Linked DNA regions of Lytechinus pictus. The protein of the gene in region 2 purifies or fractionates together with the protein of the main gene of each other region. This does not show direct contact. Links are inferred from orthologs where the notes say so. Each region holds a gene or a part of one and is shown on either strand. Other genes may lie near its edges.

Region 1 (7,979 bases), about 5.4 Mb from region 2:
TTGTAATTTTTCGTTAAAGGGGTTATTGCATATTATGTTTTAATTGGCTATATTCACGAGTAAAAATTTATTCTACTGTACATAATACACTCTAAAAAGGGTTTACCCAATATTGCGTAAAATGGGAACATGCATGTTGGTTGGGTAAAAGATATCAATATTTTGTCAAGAAATAACCAAATATGGGTTAAAAAAAATAAAAAATACCCAGCAAACATGCATATTCCTTTTCCACCCAATATTGGGTAACATTTTACTCGGTGTTTTAGAGTGTATATAATTACCCATTTTTTACGAAGTTGGTCCAATATTGAATCATAACATCACGAACTGACTCGGACGTACTTCCAGGAGGAGCATTCAAAGCCGTCTCTCTGCCGAAAATCGAATCCCAGAGGTAGAACAATTCCTCGCCCTGAACTGCCCTGTTTGGATCCCGGAGAGGGTCATCTATCAGTCTATAGTTTGTGTCCACGTAGTCAAAGTAATACAGATATGCATTTGTTTCGGTGCTCCTCTGGTGATTGCGCAAGAGTTGAATGGTTTTAGAAAGGTAGGACCGGTCAGCGTACATTTTAAACATAAAGCGTATTGCGCTTTGCGTATCTGGGAGATCTAGAAGAGGGCCATCGTACCTGTAATCGATGGCCTCCATTGTAAGTAATGCCTGGTCATCAGTTCTATACCTCTGCCTAGTATCGTAGTAAACAAAGTTCGATACATCCTGGACAGTCTGAAATGCCTCATTGACATCGACGTACCCATTTAAGAGCGCTGCCCCTTCGTCACTGTTGACTCCCATCAGAATGTCATATTGGTGTAAAAGATCCATATCTTGTAGATTATCGAGGGTACGTGGAAAGAAGAGCCCATCAATCCGTGGTTCAAAGTAAGCACCCCCGAGAGCGGTGTAATCGACAGCTACGATTTCTTCCCATGTTTTATTCCGAAGACAAGCTAGATTTTTTGTCCATGATCCTTCAGTGCAGTTCAGGGTATTAATGACGATATTGGACAACCTCCTAGCCTGACCCTCGGAACTGATATAGGAAGCATCGGTTGATGTGCTGCTCTGGATAATAGCTCTTTGGAATAGGTTATTATCGTTTAAAGGAGTAAGAATCTGAGCTACAACTCCTGTAGCTCCCTCACGCCCTTGGCCAACAATGGTAATCATACTCCCGTCACCATTGAAAGCTCCGATGTTATCCCGCACCCACTGTATGGCAAATCTTTGATCCCAGAGTCCGTAGTTCCCCGGTACCGTGTCATCCTCCGTGCTGAAGAAGCCGAATGTGAGGAATCTGTAGTTGATGGTGACGACGATGATGGAACCTTTGACGGCCATATCCCTCCCGATGTACTCCGATCCCGAATAAGCTCGGTACCCTCGACCTGGTATGAACAACATGACAGGCAGTTTGTTATCTTCAGTTGCTGCTGGTGGTACAAAGATGTTCAAGAAGAGACAGTCTTCGCTTATCAACAGATCATCAAGATCTTCCACTGGTGATTGTGGACAGGCAGCGCCAAAAGTCGTTGCATCCAGTGTTCCGTCCCAAGGAAGCTTGGGTCGTGGACGAGCAAATCGAAATTCTCCCACTGGGGGTTCTGCGTAAGGAACACCCATGAATTCTTCCATTGCGTTGCCGTCAAAGTCATAACTGTTCCCTTCGACCTCTCCCAATCCAGCAACGTTCACTGTCACTTGAGCAAACGAAACATGAATGTCGATGATGAATAAAAGTAAAAGGACAGTAACCAGATGAGATGCCATGACTAGCAGCATTGGTAAGTCATCGACATCCACAACATTTAAATAGCTTTGAGTGGTCGCTTAATAATTTCTGCGGAAACTCTTCAAACCTATATATGCAACCTTTCCCGGATTTCTATGTGCCACACCTTTGGAAGATAAACGGTGATTGGTCAGTTATAACTGCTGTTTCACTGTTTGATTTCACCCTTTTGTCTAGAGGAAAATGATCACCGCAGGGACAAAGTACGTGGTATTAGCAAACATTCCGACACGTCTGGCGCGAAATGACTCAGCATCGTGTAACGTAGTCATATGGTAGTGCAGATCTCTGCATACAACTTTGAAAAATATTTATGAAATCAAATAGCAGGGGGTAAATATTGAATCATCCGAGAGGCACTTGTTGACCTTCGCATGCTTTATTATCCTTCTTCTCAGTAAAGCAGGAAAGTTATACATTAAAAAACCCCGAAAACTTCCATTTTGTAGAATAGATGACGAAATCCTTGTTAAAAATGAGATGACGTATTAATATCATACGAGCAGTTGTTCATTCACTCACGAAATTGGTTTTGAAATCCATGACTATATATATTTTAGACGATACCATCTTGAATACATTAGAAAGTAGGCTATGATTGATAACGCAAAGACAGCGAAATGTAAAGATAAAAAAACAAAACAGAAACGAGTCGACAGACCTTCAATAAAGTATGATAAGTGGTGAGAGTGATACAATTCTTACCACGGGAATATTAAGATTTAATTTTATTTATTCATTGAAAAAAAAAGTAATGGGAATGTAACATTGGTAAACGTAAACCCTGCATGCGATCGGATAAGCAAAAAAAAAATTACCTATGCTGCCCTTGGGGTGCCCATTGTCAGGAGGGGTGCATTCTTTTATTTTCCTGCCAACTAATTTTTCCTGTATATAATTCCCTGCTAAAATTGTCTTACAACCAAACAAGAGATCATAAAAATTATATAGGGGCGCTTACCCCCTCCCCCTCCCTGAGCAGGCCCGCGCGTGCAGTCGTGATTACTTAGGACGACTACTACGAAGCCATGCGAACCATCGATGTCACTTTCCGAGATGAATTGAATTCATTTATTTTCCATTAAAAACATGCAAAATCAAGAATATACAAACATTACAAAGTATGAAAATGAGACATTGTACAAATTACATATCATACTTTAAAAATAAATACATATAAAGGAGAAATTATATTTCACTAAAGATCCCATATTGATCTTAAAATTTCTGTGATGATGAGAGGTAAATTAGGCCGGAGCACCAAACAGTAAGTGGCGTATCTAACTTTTGTCAGAGTGAACTTCCGGTCCTCTTTAATTGATTCAGATCCCTTAACAAATATATTGAAGAAAAAAAAGAATGAAAAAACAAATTATAAAAATACATGAGAAATTTAAAAATAGGCCTACAATAAACTACATAAGAAATTAATTATGTATTGACATTCTTTTTTGGGGGGATGTTTGTTAGAAATGTCAAATTTATGTTTTCACCAAAAATAAGCATTCTACAAGCAATAATATGAGTTAACAGCAAAATGTATTTTCAGACACTAATTTGCATCATTTATTTTGAAATATGAAGTTTTAACTTGTTGAAATTTTTCTTAACATTTGTAGTTTCAAAAACCTATAGGCATATATGGGGGTGCAAATTTTCGCCAAACAGTCTGGCAAACTGACACTAAACATGGTGTGAAAAGGCACAGTTAAAGAGATCGATGCATACTGCGGACTGAAAATAGTATAAAAATTCACAAAACAAAATATGATGAAAATTTCATCAAAATCTGATAATAATAAATAGCAAAGTTTTGGCGTATGTGCATGCCAGGTCTATGTAATACATGAAATATCGAGACATTATTTCTCCTATTAATCCTCACCCCCATCGAGCCCTTTGTCAAAAGCTGTATGGATCCGCCCCTGAATAAAAATTCACTTAAGGCGGACGAAAATCCCCCCCCCCCCCCCCCATTGCGATCGACATTGCCAGAGCCGCGCATGTGCGCGCTGCCGAGGTTGTCTGTCCAAGTCAATATTACACGTATAGTCAATAGAACCAAATCTGCCGAGGAACCAAATCTGCAAACATCAAGCTGCGTTAAACCTGGCGGATATGGTTCCGATTAGGGTTGGTGTTGGAGTTAAGTTGGCGCTCTTCAATCTGGTAGATTATCTGCGCCAGGTCGTTTCCGAGTTAGCTGCTTAATTCCCGCATCAATGTCCTCGGCGTTAGACTAGTCTGACCTGTCATATAGCGAGGTGCAATATAATTATGATTAGTTACCACCACCATTAAATTGTGCGTTTTTGTACTTCATAGTATGCAAACTTATATAAGAAGCTAGGTCGAAGCTCAATTTGAGTAGTCTAAGGATTGTCACTAATCATCAGAACAAAAGGAAGAGAGAGAGAGAAAGAGATGGAGAGAGATCAGTGGAATATTCTTATTCGAATCTCTTTGTTTTTTTCCACGTAATTCAGGATAACTTTATAATCTGCATTTCTTCCCAATAATGTTGCTAGATATGATATTGGCTTGTTTAATTTCAGGCTTCTTTGCATAATTCTCCTTTCTCTTTCATTTTTCTTACATTGTAGTAAAAAATGTTCTATTGTCTCAGGAACCTGACAATGGGAACATAGACCATTTTCATGTTGATTAGATTTATACAGATAATAATTCAATTTACATTAAAAACGATATCGGCCATTTAGAACGATATCTGCCGGCGGATACGGTATCCGCCGGTGGAACCAAATCCGCCGCTACACCGGCTGTAATTGCCCTCCCCACCCCCCCCCCCCCCCCCCCCTCCGATCCCCTATCGATAAATCTCGAGCGCGATATCGGATGCGCATGCGTGACACATGTGTTAATACTTAATGGTCGGTGAAAGGCATCTGCTGGCGTAAAATCCCTTGATTTTGACAAATATTGGACTAAGAATTAAAATATCACCATGGCTACTGATGAGGTACATGAGGTGAGATTGAAATTATAAAATTTTTCATGTTTTATTCAAATAATTGGCAAGAAAATTCTAAAGGACCGAGTATGCAGGTTATTCATCACAGTCCCGTACTATCATATCTGCGTGGTATTTCTGGTAAACGAGCCACATAACGTCGACAACAACGTTTTTATTTTATTTAGTCTATATCTAACAAGTTAACTGTTAGACAGTATAGGGGCGGCCCAGTATAGGCTTAAGTTATAGATCTAGTCTACTGCCCAACTTTAGCAAAAGGAAGCAAGTGATGCATCAGTCAAGTTTGAATTATTGAACCGGCCGTCTCCATGCCATGCCATGCCAGGCCATGGTCTCTGACGTGTTAATCAATTGTGGGGATTGGGATTCTGGCAAGAAACCGGGAGGGGGGGGGGGCACTCAGACAGCATATAATGCGTGGTGGTGGGTACATGCATGTGCCGCGGAGACGACCCCCATTTTTACACTCCTATTCCTAATAAATTTCCATTCAAAGTAGGGTGTCTGAAGCCACACTGAAAAGTGTCAGCATAAAACAGGCTAATTTAGGGGAAAATATGGCACATTTTTTCGGGGAAGTTCAGGCTACTAGAAAAATGTGATCTGAATTGATTATTAACTTGTGTTTGGCATGTATGGAAAGAGAAAATTCAGGGGCTTCTTTTGACAGTAAGGACAAGTTTATGTGATCATTTGAAATAAGGATTTAGAGATAAATTGCTAACCCTTATTTTTGTGTGTGTTGAGATTGCCATTTCTCCATGCGTTTTCTATGGGGAAATGAAATTTCTGTTTTGCACAATTTTTTTCACTTTGTCGCAATTTTTCATTGTGATCTGGTTTCCAAATCTTTATAAAAATCATACCATCAGATAGAGCATAAAAAATCCTATTGGACTCTTTATGGACAAGTTTTTGGCATTAATAATGAATTTATAACAGCTCTTGGAAGCTAAAAATTTGGATTTGTGTGTGTCCATTTCTTAACTACACAGTCTATGGCAGAGAAATGCTGAAAATTGACCTAATTTCATTCTTCTTTTTTGCAGCCAATAATTTGATTTTTTTCAAAAATGTTACATTTCTGTCAGTCTGAAGGTCATTTCTCTTCAAATTCACAAAGAAAATGTGATATTTTCTTGAAATAAGAAAAATAATTTTTTTCTCCAGACACCCTATTCAAAGGGCAAGACAACATTTTTATTCGAGAAAAAGAACAAAGAAAGTTGATCCAAGGCCTTGCCAAAGCATTTTCTTCTTATCAAGAAAAAAAGAAGAGACAAATCTGTTCCAAAGCAAATGCAAAGTTTCGCATACAATGTATTTTTTGTAACGCCGTTCCGGCCGCATTGATCCGCTACAGTAAGCTGCATTTTTGGTAGACGGCTGGCAGCCGTCTGTTTCGAGGAGTTTTTTAACATTTTTGATTTTTTTTTTAAATTTCTCCTCGTACACAGTCGACGGCTCGCTATTGTGCAGCCACCATTAGGGGGTTAACAACGTGTTGTGCTCTCATTCTAAAAATCAAGCTCTCTGTAAATCTATCGAGTGAAATTGCGATTCCAAGTTCTTTTCTGTTAGTATTTCCAATGCAAAAAGTAGATTGACAACGGTCAGATGGTCTTGATGGCGATATTGTTGAGAGAGCATGTCTACAGACTACGGGGCCACAGACATGCAGACATTGATTAGCTGGAGGGGGAATTGCCAAACTTAATTAGGACCTAGATCTGATTAAACGGGCTTAACGTTAGATCCAACTCTATCGTGTGGCAGCTACATAATAATGTTTATTTTCCTTTTTTTAGTTTCATTTTTTCTGTTTGATTCTTTATCCAGGTGACTGAATGCAAGGACAAATTACATGAAATGGTAAGATCAAGTCAGAGTCTCGTCAAAGATCCATTACTTTGTAAGGCCTGATAACCTCAACCTTGATTGCAAGAGAATTGAACAAATTGAAAATTACCTCTCTATTCTCTCGCCAGGAAAGCTAGGATAGGGGCTGATATGATTTTTTTTTAGCTTTTGATTCAATGCTCAGATATTTAATTATTGTATACTGACATTTTGTAAATTTGCATTGCAAGAGATTGATTTAGTTGAACACTTTCTGATACTAATCAGGCCTAAGACGATGTCAAAGAGTGTCCAGTATTTAATTATTGATGATTTTGTTTTGTTAAATGGCATATCATTGTCCACACATGTACTTAGTCCTTGGAGTTGCTTGTTTTAGTTTAACAAGTTAGATTCACTATTGATTCTCAATCATGTTTTATTCATATAATCACCAAGTTGAAACATTTCACAAAGCTCTCATGAGTGACTTCACTTCACAAACGAGTGGCGATCCTTTCTTGTAGTACAGTAATACTTATGTGCACCAATTTATTATTGGTGTTGATTAAGCTCCTAAAAAAGGATGAGCAGTTGTTTATAAAGTTGCTTGTAGCTTACGAATAGCTTTATGAAACACCCAAGTGGCCCTTTCAGATTGAAATTGCTGTTAATAAGCATCTGAATGCAAACTTCATTTATCTAACTTTAAATAGTAGGGAATTCACATTCGCTCCTACTTTGTTAAGAAAGGGAAAATCTGCCTTTGCTAAATCTCAAGAACTGGGGATGAAGCATCTTATATATATCACCAGTTTTCACTGATCAGCAGATATGTGCCAATCAGATGCAAGTATTTCTGTAGCCTACATGTATAATGTAATGATAAAAATTACTGACCTTTTGTTTCATGAAATGCTCCCTAAGTGTGCATAATTCATGATGCATAACTTAGGAACAGCTTTATGAAACAGTCCCCAGTGCAATAATGTTTGAACTTCAAGCAAAAAATGATCATAATTTTTCATTTTTCTCCCTTTTTCTATCGCCGATCAGTCAGAGAATCTAGTGAAAGTTGTGTTCCCCAAGAAGATTCGAGAGTTAGGGGAATTAGTAGAGGTGAGAATTTCTTAAATTCTTTTGGTAATTGTTCTTGATTTCATTCATATTATGCATCTCCAGCTCTATCGTTCAACCCCCTCCCCCTTACCCTGTCGCAATTGGTCGATCTGTCGATTTTTAAACCATTTGTAAAACTCCTCTTAATGTTGCTTGAAATCTAAATTGCCTCTTACATCAGTTGCTTTTCTCAACTGTATGGTAGGGGGTCCTAAAGCTACGCGGGT
Region 2 (8,309 bases):
TGCGTCATGACCTTTACATGACCTTTGATGACATTGACAGACAACCTTTGACCTAAAGTTTATTTGATGTAAATATGATTGATTATCCGTTATGTTGATATGATCAAATTAAGAATTTTACAAAATGGCGCGTAGATGACGTCATCATGACCAGATGACTTTGAAAAGCTTAGTATGCCGTCTCTATGATAGACTATATATGACAGAAAAATCAGCCAAATTGATTCAGCCAATTCGGAGAAAAGTTGGCGACAAACATAAATAAATAAAGAAAGAAAGAAATAAAGAAATAAAGAAAGAAAATTCTGACGAAATTAAGAGGTGATCTGTCAGAGTCAGACCACCTAATTATAGGGTGTTATAAGAATACATTTGCGATCAATTGCAAAGTTCTGTTGCAATTTTACAACTTGCAAATTGATCACAAGTTTCTTGCGATAACTGTAGCATTTTGCCCAAGGCAGGCTTGTCCGACATACCCATGGGTAATAAACAAATTGTAGGTTCCAATAATCTACAGGACAGGGCCATTTTTCTATACCTTTTCTACCAGTACAAATGGGAATAATTGAAAAAATAAGACAAAGGCACATCCAAGATAGTAAAACATAGCCTGTAATGAACTTGATAATGAACAGCTTATGTTTTATCTTCGTTCAGATTTTAATCACTTTGTTACTAGCTTACATGTACATCCATTCCACTTTAAAAGTGTCATCTTTTATGATATTCTTGGCTCTTGCCATCTCCAAATTAAGAGTTTCTGTCAATGAATGCCTTTTTTAGAATTAGCATAAAAATGTTAACGTGTGTTTTATGTATGAATGATACAGAGGTCTTGCCATTTCCATACTTACACTGTAGTTATATCAGTTGCTAGCCCAGAGATTCCCAAATAAAGCCTTGGTCCCATCTCAAAGATTTTCTGTGCGTTCATCGAGACGGTCTGAGCTTGTACTCCAAACCGTCGATCTGACGCGATCCCAACGCAGTCTTTCCCTATCATGGCCACAACGGCCGAGCCGTTATATGACATAATAGACTGAAATATAAGAAAATGTATAAGAAAATGTGTAAGTGTGGCAAGAAATAAACGTTCAAAACAAAAACCTGGAAAACTATTTTCAAATGGCTTTGGCTGGCTAAAAGGTGCATGCACACATTGTTTGCTCATTTTCTAAAACAATCCTTGTGAAGGAAAAAAACAAAAAACTGTTTGCTGTACCAGGCCGACCATAATTAAAACCCAGACTTTTATTTCTTCTTTCAATTCTGAAAAAATAAGTGCAGACTGACTTTGAGTCCCTTCATCTTTCTTATTATTCTCCCCGATTTCTTTACAAATAAAAAAAAAACTTGATAATTTTGGCAAATGAAACAATCTAGAAAAGACTAGATGACCCTCAAATTCCTCAATCTTCGATTTTAAGTGGATCATGCATAAAAACGGCCGGGTTCCCATCACACACATGCAAAAAAGAGCATTTCACTCTCTCTAACGTAAAAAAAACAATAAAAAAAATAAATAGAAAAGGACCAAAGACAACTTCTGATAACATTAACCATGGTCTAAATTAACATTAGTTATCTTCTTAAGTGGATGACACATTTTTGGGGCTTGCTTGTTTGTTGTTGCTTTTTTAATTTTATCATTTTTTTTTCATTTAATTTGATGGTCCAGCACCCGAGTACAGTCCATAATTTGTCATGCTAAACATGATCCATGGTAATGACTTTGTGGCAATATTTTTAGATGGTTTTTAGACCAATTTACCCATTTGATTACCGGTTTTATGGCCTTAGTATCATGCAATTAGTCACCTCTCTTCTCGCGTGTCAGTGTGTGTGTGCACTCGTTGAAGTCAATAAGGTTTATCGCTATATACGTGTGAGGAAAAAGATACTGGCCCAAAATCACCAATTTTGAGGATAACCGGAGGATGGACACGGAGTGAAATACGGGTGAAGAGTAAGAAATTAAGCTATTTTACTTTCTCGTTATATTTTTTTAATATAATTTTAACAATGAATAACATTAACGCGATTTGCGTGCTGTCGCCAAGCGGAAGACAAAGAAATCAAGATGGCGACGTAAACACGGCCGTGAGCTCTTCCCATCTTTTCATAACATTTTTCTCGTTTTTTTTATTAGGCCTAATTCTTCTTTAAAAACGAAATTGATATCGCAGAAATGTTGGAAATGAAGTTGAAGTGAACCCATGTACCGGTAGGCCTACATGTTTTATAATACTACTACTAGGGCTAACCCAGAGAGCTCCAGCCCGCGTAGCGGGCTGGAGCCCAGACGCTCAGTGTGCAAACGGGCATTCAGGTGAGAGTACCGTGAAGTTTGGTCAAAATAATTTTGATAATACATAATTAAAACAGAAATTAAGCACTTACCACGATTGTATGGATGATAGTCTAACGAGTGGCAGTTTCCTGACATCGAGGCACAGACTGGAACCTCAAAAAACGATCAGTTCTGTCGCGGTGGCTCTCCTTCTTTCAAAATTCATAGCAAAATGGCCGTTCGAGAGGGTGTAGGGCGCATGCGCGAATTTGACAAAGTCTATATGCGCTAGTGCTATACTAGCCTCGGTCTCGATCGGCCATTTTGTGTTGAATTCTGAAAGAGGAGAGCTACCGCGACAGAACTGATCGTTTTTTGAGGTTCCAGTCTGTGCCTCGATGTCAGGAAACTGCCACTCGTTAGACTATCATCCATACAATCGTGGTAAGTGCTTAATTTCTGTTTTAATTATGTATTATCAAAATTATTTTGACCAAACTTCACGGTACTCTCACCTGAATGCCCGTTTGCACACTGAGCGTCTGGGCTCCAGCCCGCTACGCTACGCGGGCTGGAGCTCTCTGGGTTATACTAGGTCTAGGGCTAGATCTTTTAGTTTTAGAGGGAAAGTAGAAATCTCAGGGGCGATAGTTTCAGGTTTTGTGGCCGTACGTGCGTGATTATACCTTGGCGTCCCAGGCGTCAGTGGGGAGTAAGCCTACGTAGAGTAGATGACTTTTACTCCCCAGACGCCTCCAGGCTACTTCGCCCGAGGCAGAATCTTCATCTGACTTGTGCTCCGCCGCAGCGGACTTCGAGAGAGACTCGCTCGAATTCATCGCGGTAGAGACTCCCCGACGCCACCCCGAGACACGGTCATGCTCTCGCAGGTCAACTAAAACTAAAGTCAAACTTCGTTCGCTCTTCTTTCTTATACAATAAATACATGTCTTACATTCTCAAATCAAAGGCATTTAAAAGCAAATACTTGACTTTAAAATCAATCACATTTCTTACCATTATGCCTAGATTGTTTGTATCCCCGGCCACAAACAAGACAGATTTTTTCCAATTCCTAAAATGTGTCAATTCACGATCGTTTGTAGACTTTCTCTGTTTCGACAAAGAGGGCTCACTCATGAAATATTCTATTTCTATCTCTTTCTTCTTCTTCTTCTTCTTCTTCTCCTCCTCCTCCTTCTTCTTCTTCTTCTTCGTCTTCTTCTTCGTCTTCTTCTCCTCCTCCTCCTCCTCCTTCTTCTTCTTCTTCTTCGTCTTCTTCTTCTTTGCCTCTTCCTTTTCTATTCTTCTTATTTATCCATGTTCACCTTTTTTCTTCTTCCTTAATCTCAGTTTTCCTCTCATTGCTCGTAGGCCTATATAGTAGGCTTTCTCATCTTGTAAGATACGAAAATTAGCCCGATGACATTTTAAACTTTTTTTTTTTTAAATAGCCTTAAAAAATATATATATATCTCAAAGCCGGGATCTCAAGTCACAAGCGTTGATGGAAGTTAGACTGTCTTGACCTTTAAGAAAATGGGTAAAAATAATTGCGACGATTCCTAATGGTGGGTGAGTGTTCAAAAGTCCCCATCCCATACCTCTGACTGACTTTAAACCTGTTTTTCCTCCCAATAAGCATTCGATTTGTTTTTTTCATAAACTTCTTGATAAAGGTCCTTGACAAGCGATTTCTAGGGCCATTTCTCGAAGGTGGGTACCTGCAATTATAATGGCAATTTTATATGGTAAAAGATAGCTATTATGATCCTGCCATCACCCCCCCCCCCCCCCCCCCCCCCCATCCGACGCAGCGTAATTTCATTATACGCCCATTATTCGTCTAATTCCCATTAAGGTTACACCAATTTCGTTTGCTAACACCCATATGATTATCAACCAACTTTTTTATTTGACATAGTGAGAAAAGGTATAGTAGGCCTATTACAGACTAATGATAATGACGGGTAACGGTTTAGAAGAAGTAATTATATGAGAGGGTAGATATGGGGGCCCCCAATTTATCACGACCAAGAAAAAAAAATGAAAGAGAAGGAAAATCTAAAATTATTATCTGAATATCATGTCAAAATCTATCACAAAATTTTCTTTTGGTAATAAAAATATAAAAAAATTTGCTCTCTCGCATATTTTTCCAAATTAATTTGGCCCTATACGGCATGTCTGGCCCCTTAAAACTGTTTGCTCACTAAAATGACGCTAGTGTTGGTGAGGGGGTAAAAATATTATTATCAACATTTCCCCCATTTGACGCCTAAAAAGTTTATTTTAATTTTTTTTACCGCGTTTAGAGGGCTGTACTAACCAGAGAATGACGTTTCATTCATCTTAGCCTTATTATTCGCCAAGATCTCAAAGGGTCAAGTCCACCCCAAAAAAATGTTGATTTGAATAAAAAGAGACAAATAAAAGAAGCATAACAATTAACCCTGAAAATTTCATCCAAATCCGATGTGAAATAAGAAATATATCATGATGGCATTTTAAAGTCACGCTTATTACTCACAAAACTCATGGATATTGGCTCTATGCAAATAAAAGCGTTGATGATATCCTTCACTCACTATCTATTTATTTTATTTTATTTTTTATTGCTTGAATTGTGAAATATTCATTTCTTTTTACAGATTTGACAATAATGACCCTTTTGTCTGAACCACAAAATGTTGAAACATTGATAATCACATACTAGAAATTAAAAAAAGTGAAATTCTAGCTAACTTTTTGAATCACTAACTGTACTTTCTAAGCCTTATTTTTTGTACATATAGAGGTGCATATCTCCATTTTCTCACTACACAGTATGTTTTCAATAGCAAAGCTTTGCTGTTGGGGACATTGGCACTGACTAACAAGTGTGTCAATATTTTCGCGTGTTGTTAAATTCGCGGCCGATCGGCAATTCGCGAAATCCGCGAAAATAAAACCCCCGCGAAAATTACAGCTTGTACAGTACTGTGTTCAGAAAGGAATAAAACTTCGATTCACATGACAATCAGTGGCGTAGCTACGGGGGGGGGCCTGGGGGGCACGTGCCCCCCTGAGATTTATTTTGGTGTGCCCCCCCCCCCCCAGGTGCCCCCCCCCCTGAAAAAAATGGCAGAGCAAAAAAAGGGAGAAAGAAGAAAAGAAAAAAGGAAAAGAAGAAGAAAAAAAAATAAGAGGAAGACGAGTGAATGAAATAATGTGAGGGGAAGACTTGCAAAAAAAAAACAATTTTTGCTTGCACTTCGCGCCAGAATTGCCTGTTCGATGAGATTCATATCTTGCTCAATAGGCTGATATGGAGCAAGCTTTGAAGTCAATATACAAAACATATTTTAGCTAGGACATCGAGCTTTCATTATTTTTTTTCATTTACAAATTTAAGTGCTCTGTAAAATGTCCGTTTTATGGTCTACATATCAGCATTAAGCTCACGCTGCGTGGTCACATTGTTTGATTTGCCAAGTTCATATTGTCTACGTGTCCCGGCTACGTGTATTCCATAATGTTCCATTAAACAAATGTATTCAGAATGCCCAGATTCTAGGTCTAAATCTAAAACATGCGCGATAGCCTGCATGTTCTTTATTTAAAATGTAGTTAAATTATCCAGTTTCACATCAGAATATCAATAATTCGCGCTCGCATCAATTGTTTAGTTACATACCTATCCCATTTATTAATACAAAAAATGCTTAGAATGACCATTTTTTAAAAGTCGGAATGTCAAAAAAATTTGCTCGCGCTTTGCGCTTGCATTATTGAAATATATACCGTCTTCCTTGACAGGTCCCTTTTCGATAATGCTAGAACAGTTAATAAAAATTTCTGCTCACGCTTGGCGTTCGCAGTAACCATCTTACATACATATCTTGTTCAGGATCACACATATCATTGCCCAGAATATCAAATTTTCAGGACAAAATACATAAAAGTAAAAAAAATCGCTCGCGCTTCGCGCTCGCACTTTTTTATAAGGCTTATGAGATTATTTCATGTTTATGTTGTTTTATAAGAATAAAACTGAGAAGTGACTGATCGGGGAAAATATAGGTGAAGATAATTTCGGGCACCGTCCCCTATTGGCGAAAGTCGGATCCGCCCTTGTGACACATACACACACACCGGAAAAAATTGTGCCCCCCCCCCCCCAGGAAAAATATCCTAGCTACGCCACTGATGACAATGAGGAGATAATTAGATTTTTCATATTCCATGCTGTAATGAAATACAAAAGAAATAGTGAGTGGATGAATGCAATCGGTCTCCTCATTTGCATACCGACCAGGATGTGAATATAATTGTTTCGTGAAACTTAGCAAAACTTTAAAATGCCATATTATTTTACATCCGATTTAATGAAATTTTCAATGTTATGCTTGTTTGTTTTTTCGCTTTTTATTGAAATCAACTTTTTGTTGGGGTGGACTTGTCCTTTGAATAAATAATGAGAGCGTACGAAGCGTGAGCTATTTTTTCACTAGTTCATTATTTCATCTATTCACAGCTGAAAATTAAATATTCTGAGCAGCCTTTTTTCTGCCTAATCATGAACAAGATGCGTATAGTCTGTGCTTGTACATAATAGCGCGAATCGCAAACTGTTTTTTTTTCTTCAATATATTGACATCCTGAAAAGGACTCAACAAGGACTATTTGCAGTGATTCATGAAAAAGGGTACATATCTCACCAATCAAATAATCTGAGCGCGTAGCGCGAGCTGATTTTTTTTTTGGGGGGGTAATCATGAACAGGGCCCGTAATTTCCCTGATGTAGAATAACAAAAACTTAATTGAATAGCGAACAAAATTTTTTTCTTTCAAATTATTCTCTTCGCCTTACTTCATGAAATTTCTTCTTTTTTCCCGTATAATTTTGTTTTATCTATCTATTTCTTTTTCTCCTCTCTGTAATGGAATAGCGCCATCTGTGGCGAGTTACATTAGAGTGCAAAACAATGGGATCCAGACCATCAGTGATCCAGACATGGAGGTGGATAAAGCTTATTATAGATTAAATTGCCTGGTTCAAAAGTATATCAGTTTGAAGCCTCCGATAAGTATTTGTAATACTGTAATTAAGTTGGTAGTTACAGTAGGAGTAGAAGAAACAACAAGACAAAATACTTTCCTTCCTTTTATGAGCCGACAATATGGGAGGGGCACGGCCCTTGATTCGCCCGACCCCTGGCCTGATGACCCCATCCCAATTTTGTGTAAAAATTGAATATAGAAATTACGTTTATAAAGCATTTAAAAACAAATTTCTTGGGAAAACATAATTAGAATTCACTGCAAGGGACTATAATTATTCATAACTTATAAAAACTATCCGAAGATTGCGAGCAATGAAATATATTTAAAAATTGCACTAAGTAAACCTAGAAGAAAAAGAAAATGAAAGTGTTTAGCAAAGGTATGTTTGCAAGGGGGGGGGGGGGACACACTCGTTGAAGGACCCGAGGTTACTATCTAATCACTTCTAGATATACTGTATATAACTTCCCCTCATCAATGATTTTTTTTTCTTCATTTTTTTCACTTAAGAAATTGAAAACTTTAAACAAAAAAGTGCCATCAATGTTTATTTTGTCTTTGAATATAATATAAACCCCTCAAAAAAAGTTTGGAAATCTGAGTTTGGCCATTAATTTCTCCCAACTCCCAATTTAACACAATGCATATTTGATATCATTTAAAAGATCATTTAATTTTCTTTAAAATTATACAATGCCTGTTATAATCATGCCATCACGAAAAGAGCAGGATTCAAAAGTTTTGGATGAGGTCTGAATTGAAAAGCAGCAAAACGAGCAGAAGTAGTCATGAAGGGTCAATAAAGAACATGATGATTTTGTCTGTGTCAATAGAGATAAAAACCCATTCAAATCAAGCCGCTGCTTCTTCATTTTTTATGTTTTGTTGTGGTTTATGTAGTAATGGTTATGTGAGATAACATGGTTTGAGTCGTGGTTCGAAATACCCATGCATGTTTGTTTGCATGTG

Evidence for each region. The genes of interacting proteins can lie anywhere in the genome.
Region 1: the proteins of proteasome subunit beta type-3-like (region 2) and proteasome activator complex subunit 3-like purify together in Homo sapiens (affinity purification with mass spectrometry; 4 studies listed by BioGRID and IntAct, with this or other methods). This does not show direct contact. The link is inferred for Lytechinus pictus from reciprocal best matches to the Homo sapiens genes PSMB3 and PSME3.

The regions. Positions count from the first base shown.
Region 1 is NC_087257.1:14,471,731-14,479,709, forward strand, and holds the start of proteasome activator complex subunit 3-like, read left to right. Parts: upstream 1-4,623; 5' UTR 4,624-4,764; coding exon 4,765-4,788; intron 4,789-6,633; coding exon 6,634-6,666; intron 6,667-7,689; coding exon 7,690-7,752; intron 7,753-7,979. Other genes in the region: uncharacterized protein LOC129275040, read right to left, coding at 285-1,789. UniProt on the Homo sapiens protein: Subunit of the 11S REG-gamma (also called PA28-gamma) proteasome regulator, a doughnut-shaped homoheptamer which associates with the proteasome. 11S REG-gamma activates the trypsin-like catalytic subunit of the proteasome but inhibits the chymotrypsin-like and postglutamyl-preferring (PGPH) subunits.
Region 2 is NC_087257.1:9,034,932-9,043,240, forward strand, and holds the start of proteasome subunit beta type-3-like, read right to left. Parts: upstream 3,402-8,309; 5' UTR 3,314-3,401; coding exon 3,311-3,313; intron 1,043-3,310; coding exon 858-1,042; intron 1-857. UniProt on the Homo sapiens protein: Non-catalytic component of the 20S core proteasome complex involved in the proteolytic degradation of most intracellular proteins. This complex plays numerous essential roles within the cell by associating with different regulatory particles.